2 linked regions of the Arabidopsis thaliana genome follow. The protein of the gene in region 2 interacts with the protein of the main gene of each other region in a pairwise test. Each region holds a gene or a part of one and is shown on either strand. Other genes may lie near its edges.

Region 1 (3,712 bases), on a different chromosome or scaffold from region 2:
TTAATCTGCCACTGCCGCCGGACAAGAGAAAGAAAATCTTCTTCCGTAGCTAAAAACGCTTTAGTTATAACATTGGCAGACATTCCATGATTCTCTGATGTAAACTCTGCAATCAGAAAATGTCACCAACTTAGAACATAGATAGTCCCAAACACACACATATCAAATATAACAAAAAAGAAGGAAACAACGTACTCCTGATGTTGTCGAAGAGGTGTTTATTAACGAAACGGGCAGCTTCAGGACCACCATGACCATCATAAACACCAACAAAAGTAGCTTGAGGACCAGAATCAAACATACTAACAGGTCCAGACTCAAGCTTGCTATGATCTTCGAGAAGATTATTAGCTTGAATAACAGACATAGAGAACTCTCCAGCAACATGGTTACCAGAATCTTTATACCAAAGAAGACCATCACATCGACCATTAGCGTCTCTAGTAGAATGATCTCCTTTAACAGAAGGTCGCCTCCAACATGGTGCTACCATCCGCAATATAGTTGCCGATGATACCATAACTCACATAATCCCCTCAATAATCAAAATTTCTTTACTTCATCTAAAAGATCACTAACACCCCCAAAAAAACGGAATCAAATCAAAATTTGCTTATTCCTCCTTCCCTAAACAATACACCAATACGAATGCATCAATACACATTTGTCGCGCATATACAATTACGAATTTTCTTCAAGGATCGAGATCAATTACCTTAAAAAAAAAAAGCCGCGAAATGATTTACCGTTCGGACAAAACAAAAGTGAAAATTGGATCGAGATCGGAAGCAGGAGTTACGATAAGAAGGAATCGTAACTCCGGTTGGGATTACAGAGAGGAAGAGAGATGACGAGAGAGAAAGAAAACAAATCTAGCAGGCGACTCTGTCAGAATTCCTTATTTGGGGGTTCGATTTCTCTTATTTTTCTCTCTTTTTTTTTTTCTTTTTTTTTTGATGCTTTTTTGTTGTCATTTGGTTTTCGAGTTTAGCTGTTTAGGCATTGACCTCAGAAACAACCCGACGTTTTAGGCAGCTTTTTCTCCCATAGTTAGCTACGTTTCTCCATTTTTCAAGATTACTAATTTTATTAAAATATTACTATAATAAATAGATTTTTATTTACATTTTCCATAATCTGAATGAAATCAAATATATGCAAATATCAAAAGTATCACCTGATCACCAATTCCTAGTTTTGTCCAATGATACTGATGATTCATCAGCCGATTGATTGAAGGAACAAATTTGAAGTTTTCCACTGCTAGTTGAATTATGGTTAGTTCATTTGACTTATCAAAATCAAATGACTAAAATATTCGAATTTTCTTACATGCTGTAGAGATTAATTTCAATTTTAATTCATCATCCCATTATCTATATAAGAAAAAAGTAGAAACATTTCGCGAAATACAATCCACCTTCTGGGTTGTTGTCTTGTTGAATATGGTCAGGAAAATAAGACCATTAAAGCTTCAACCTCCAAGCCAAAGAGCAAATAAAATACTACTGATTAACGCAAAAACATGGAAAAAAAATAAAGTCTGCAAATTGGCATGTTGACATGTTGTACGCGTAGCTTTACAACCTCACAGGTCGTTTTTTTTGTGTGACAGTTTTAACCCCCAAAATCTCTTTCTTTTTGTTTTTCCCTAAAGTAAAAAATAAAAATCTAACATGTCCGAAGTCGAACCAAACATAAACATACAGGTGTTCGAAACTAGTTAACACAATAACACCTCTAGATATATATATGATTATGGTATTACTTTTCTTTGGTGATTTTTTTGTTGGGAGAGAAACATAAATAAACAAGTTGGCCCATATTCCAGCGATTTTCCTCACCCTTCTTTGATATCTCAGTTTATAAAAGTCATGATACTAATAAATTAGAGTATACTCAAAGAAAAATCAGAAAATACACCCAAAAAAGCAAAAATGTGAGAAAGAGAAACATGTTGTTGTCCGCTGTATGGCGTCATAAGCCATTCTAGAATCATTGAAATGCATATTTAATCCTCTCTGGTAATTCCAAAAAAGCGATGAGGGTATTAACGTAAATCCACCAGAAGACGAGAAAGTGGGGATGGTGGAAGGAGAGATGATAAGAGAGATGGAAACGCGTCTCTCTATGAGGCCCATATTCCATTCTTACCTCTCTCTACCTCTCTATCTCTCTCTCCTCATAATCGATCCGTAAACTCGCCGGAGGAGCAGGGAGATTCAATAAGACGATGGCTCAGAGAACGGAGAAGGAAGAGACCGAGTTCAAAGTTCTCGAAACCTTGACGACAACAACAACGACGTTATGTACCAATAACTGCGGCGTTACAGCGAATCCTGCGACGAACAACATGTGTCAGAAATGTTTCAACGCATCTCTCGTCTCGGCGGCCGCAGGTGTTGTTGAATCAGGTTCGATCTTGAAGAGATCGGCTAGATCTGTCAATCTTCGTTCGTCACCAGCTAAAGTCGTGATTCGTCCAAGAGAGATCGATGCGGTGAAGAAGAGAGATCAACAGATCGTAAACCGATGTTCTGGTTGTCGGAAGAAAGTTGGGTTGACCGGATTCAGGTGCCGATGCGGTGAGCTTTTCTGCTCAGAGCACCGTTACTCCGATCGTCATGATTGTAGCTACGACTACAAAACCGCTGGTCGTGAGGCGATCGCTAGAGAAAATCCGGTGGTCAAGGCTGCGAAAATGGTCAAAGTTTAAAAAATTAAAAATTCGATCTCAACCGTTGAAAAACTTGTGGTGGTTCAAAAGCTCCGATCGGAAGAGAGATTGGTCGGAGAGACATGGATTTGATTTGGTGATGTGTTGTAAAAGAAGATCAGAGAGATTATTCCTCTCCTCAAATCAAAATCTGAACCTCAATTTTTTTTTTTACGTTTTTTTTTCATCTTTTAATTTATATATTAGTGAATGATTATTAATATTATTATTGTGTGGCTTACGGATTCATGAATTTGCTTCTTGATCATCGAGAAATGGTGTATGTAAGAGACGAAGGGGTTGTTTGGTAATTTAGGAACATGTCTTTCTGGTTTCGTTTCGTTTCGTGTGGTAGATGTACTTATCACGATACTACTAGTCCATTGTGCGTCACAACTCACAAAGCCAATTTCTATCAGACAAGTTTGCTTGGCGTATAAAATAGCAAAGCCAATAACGTGTTTGAGTTTGTATGGGTTATCATCTTCTTGTGTTCCATTATTTTTATAGATTTGTATATTTTAAAGCATAACATATTAAACTATACATTAGACTTTTGTTTTCTTTTAATAATATTAACATGAGCTTACTCATTCTACGAGTTTTTTATGTGAATTATTTTCAACGCATACAAAAATATCTTGCATATATCTTAAAAGTCCAACAAAATACTGTTCTTTCATGCAACTATCATTGTAGCCAGACTATAGTTATATCTACTTAATAAAATGTGTAAAAAAGTAAGTTCATTGGGACAATTTTCAATTGTCATCTAAAAATTGCAACAAAATACTGTACTTTCATGCAACTATGATTATTTATAACTCTAGTCAGAAAAAAAAAACTGACGGAAAAAAAAAAAGTCAGAAAAAAAAACTAAAAGTTGGAGCACCTAATTAGGCCCAACCCAATAGTGAAAATATAAATGTGTTGTTTTAAATTGAAACACAAAACGCACCGTTTATAATTAAAAGAAATTCAGAGAGGCTTTTCATA
Region 2 (3,936 bases):
TTAAAATATTTTCGATCTATATTTTATAATAAAACTTCAATTTTACAATTTTCTATGATAAGAGTGAAAATAAATCTTTATTAAAAACTTTTCCCACAGACAAACCAAACTAAAATTAGGTCAAGGGAGATAATAAATTATTGCGCCTTATGTGATTAGTGGTGTCCGCATTCGATGGAACTTGGCTAAGATCTAACGAGTCTCTACTCGAAAAAGACCGAGCCACCGGAGCTCCAAAGCCCTGAGTTGCTCTCCGAGAACTTTGCCTGAAGAAGTAGCCACCCTACTCACACCAGAGAACAAACACTACCAAAACCACTCACCACACGATGGCTCCCTCGTGACCAAATATGAAAGGATCTTGCCTCACCAAGTTGGAATCTTCGACGGAACAATCGTCATAGGAGCCGAATTGCCATTTTTAGAGCAACTTCATCACATTAGGGGAGAAAATCATCCAGAGGTTAATCGCGTCAAGAATTTCTACTATTGTTCCCAGTCTCCTAGAGCCGTACGTCTTTACAAAATTCTAATCGTTTCAAGAAAATACATGTGAATAGGCGCATAATGGCCGCTTTATGGTTTAGACATGTAACCGTGAAATACATCTACTTCATGTAGGTGACTATATAATAGTATAGTTGACATATGTGATCATGCATTCTCTTATATTTCGTGTAGCTAGCAAATTTTTCCCTTTTTATTTTTATTTTAAAGTTATAGCTTTTTCTTGTGTAGCCACTGCGATGGTTAGTACTATATATAGTAATTGTTAACTGTAGCTGTTGATATATCAAAATAATGATATGATCATATATGGAATTATGTATATTAAAATGAATTTGTTTATTTGTATGAAAAAGGTAGTTTATTTCTTAATGACATAATTTTAAACTATATAATAACACAATGTTTACTCTAGATAACACTCCAATTGAGAAGTCTTACTTTTAACTAATAATAAAATTTCTATATTTATCTAAACATTTTCTGTAAAATTAATTATCTTATTTGATCTAACAATTTGGTATCTATCTAATTGATCCATTTGACAATAACTAAAATATTGATAAAATTAAAATAATTGAGATTTACTTTTATTAAGAAAAATATAGACTTATATAGTCAGTCATACAGAAAGTTTGATGGCATATTATCGTTAGGTGCACATAGATTTTTGTCATATTTTGTTTGGTGTAACAAATTCATTGGTTGCTTGGCCTTTTCTCTTCTTTTTTTCACAACGTGGAAAGCATTTTACTACAAATGTAACCGTTTTCGATCGTTACAACCCCTATCATTGTCACAATGACAAACTGTTTATAAAAATATTCAAAACAAAACATTAAAACTTATATGAGAACAAATTGTAAACGCGAGATAATGTTTTTGACAAATAAGTTATAATAACATTAACGTAAATTTATCTCCAAAAACATAACAAAATAAAGAAAAAAAAAACTTATCCCGAAAAATAGCTTAATAAATAGGGTAATATTAGTAGATAACCAAATAAAACATATAAATTAAGAAACTAGCAGAGAGAAAGTTTTTTGTTACAAAATAACCATGGACCTACGTTGTCGGAAGAAAAGAAATAACAAAGCTACCCTTCATTTGTTGTAAGATGAACAGTAAACGAAACACATCTGTGTAATTTTTCAAAATAGCATGTAACATTAAAATTTCACATGTTATATTTAGTTTAAAAACATGTTATTTCAAAAAACGTTATGAATTTTTAAGAAAAAATATTATTATGAAATTCTTTTACATGAACAGAATCTTTAAAAAAAAAAAATTACATGTGATTTTAATAAAAACCATATATTACTAAAAAATAAGAATATATTTTTAAGGAAATCACGTGTGATCTTAATAAAAAAACGTGTATTACTACAAAATATCATGATAAAAAGAGATATTAAACTGAATAGAATGTTTTTTCCAAAAAATACCATGTGTTTTTTATAAATACTATGTAATAAGAGAAAATAACAAAATAAAAAGAGGATATTATGTTATCGCATGTATTTCGGAAAATAACATGTTACAAAGGACATTTACGTAATTACACGTGTTCTCCAGCATGTTTCCGACAAGATACTGTAACTCAAGGTTAGTTTGTACATTCTTTTCAAATCTATAGTCATTTATTATAAATACTCTAATAAATATCACACCATTCGCCTCCGCAATCCACAACCTCGCAAGTAACTCTCATCCTCGCTGTACTGATCAGGTTACTCTTTGTCTCTCTTCTTTTTCTGGTTTTCGAGTTTTCTTTAGTATTATGCATTCAATATATCATATCAAAAAAATGCATTTACAGGAGTATACTAGTAGTAAAAAGTAATAGCTTTTATAATTTCAGAAGAAAAAACTCTGAAAGATGTCGACCGGAGGACCCCAAAAATTAGAAGCACAAGGAGGAAAAGAAGGCAAAGAATGGGATGATGGAGCCGAACACGATGGTGTGACGAAGATATACGTAGCAGCTGGTGGTCTTGGAATTGAACAAATCAGATTCGATTATGTAAAGAACGGACAACCAAAGGAAGGATCTTTTCATGGTGTGAAGGGTAGAAGTACTATTTCTACGGTATGTTGTCTTTTTTTTCTTTCTCTCTCTTTAATGCTACTATACCAAGTTAATGTGTATTCTAGCTAAGAGTAGTAAAAATATATGTTTAACTGAAAGAACCGAATCTATAGTTTAATCGAAACCAAAGCCATATTAGTGAAATATGGTTTCACTAGAAATAGATCCACTATAATGAAAGCTGATAATTAGTGAGATTCGTAACCGTCTTAATCGTCTATCTCTAACACACTTAACCGCTAGTTTAAGATATAACTTTGATTTTATTTTTTAAACGTTGGGTATTCAATTTTTTAATGTGGAATCTCAGTATATTTTTTTGCTGGTTTTTAAAAGATTTTAGTATTGTTTTTGGCATTTTCCCCTATAATCATTAACTCTATTTTTCAGTTTTTACCCTGAACTTATTCCAAACCGAAAGCATTGTTTTTGTTTCTGTTTCAATGAAACCTAAAACAAACCGGTTGTCCATCCTTAATAAACTATTGACATTTTTTTTCTATTTTGACAGATTGAGATTAGCCATCCAGCCGAGTATCTTATTTCCATGGAGGGTTGGTACGACTCTACCAATATCATTCAAGGAATTCAGTTTAAATCCAACAAACACACTTCCCAGTACTTTGGATATGAATTTTTGGGAGATGGTACACAATTTTCACTTCAAGTTAATGACAACAAGATCATTAGCTTTCATGGGTTTGCTGATTCTCATCTCAATTCTGTTGGGGCGTATTTTGCACCCATCTCTTCCTCCTTGACTACTACTCCCAACAAAGTGGAAGCTCAAGGAGGAAATGGTGGAGAAACATTCGACGATGGTGTTTTTGATCATGTAAGAAAGGTTTATGTTGGTCAAGGTGAGTCCGGTGTAGCTTATGTCAAATTCGAATATGAGAAAGATGGGAAAAGAGAAACAAGAGACCATGGGAAAATGACATTGTTAGGAACAGAGGAGTTTGAGGTTGATTCAGATGATTACATCACATCAATTGAAGTTTCTGTCGACAAAGTCTTTGGTTATAACAGCGAAATCGTCACTGCTCTTGTGTTCAAGACTAGTAAGGGTACAACCTCACCGCCTTTTGGAATGGTGACTGAGAAGAAATTCGAACTTAAAGATGGTAACGGAGGAAAACTTGCCGGATTCCATGGGAAAGCTAGTGATGTTCTTTATGCTCTTGGTGCCTATTTCGCTCCATCGACAACTTCGACTACTCCATCTACTACCAAGAAGCTACAAGCAAGAGGTGGTAATGGAGGAGCTTCTTGGGATGATGGTGTTTTTGATGGTGTTAGAAAGATACTTGTTGGTCAAGGAAACGATGGTGTAG

The links.
Region 1: the proteins of MBP1 (region 2) and SAP5 interact in a two-hybrid assay, tested with the Arabidopsis thaliana proteins (one study listed by BioGRID).

The regions. Positions count from the first base shown.
Region 1 is NC_003074.8:4,010,474-4,014,185, forward strand, and holds SAP5 (A20/AN1-like zinc finger family protein), read left to right. Parts: upstream 1-2,134; 5' UTR 2,135-2,233; coding exon 2,234-2,716; 3' UTR 2,717-3,110; downstream 3,111-3,712. Other genes in the region: AT3G12620 (Protein phosphatase 2C family protein), read right to left, coding at 1-106, 196-520. UniProt on the Arabidopsis thaliana protein: May be involved in environmental stress response.
Region 2 is NC_003070.9:19,351,035-19,354,970, reverse strand, and holds the start of MBP1 (myrosinase-binding protein 1), read left to right. Parts: upstream 1-2,179; 5' UTR 2,180-2,242; intron 2,243-2,374; 5' UTR 2,375-2,392; coding exon 2,393-2,602; intron 2,603-3,113; coding exon 3,114-3,936.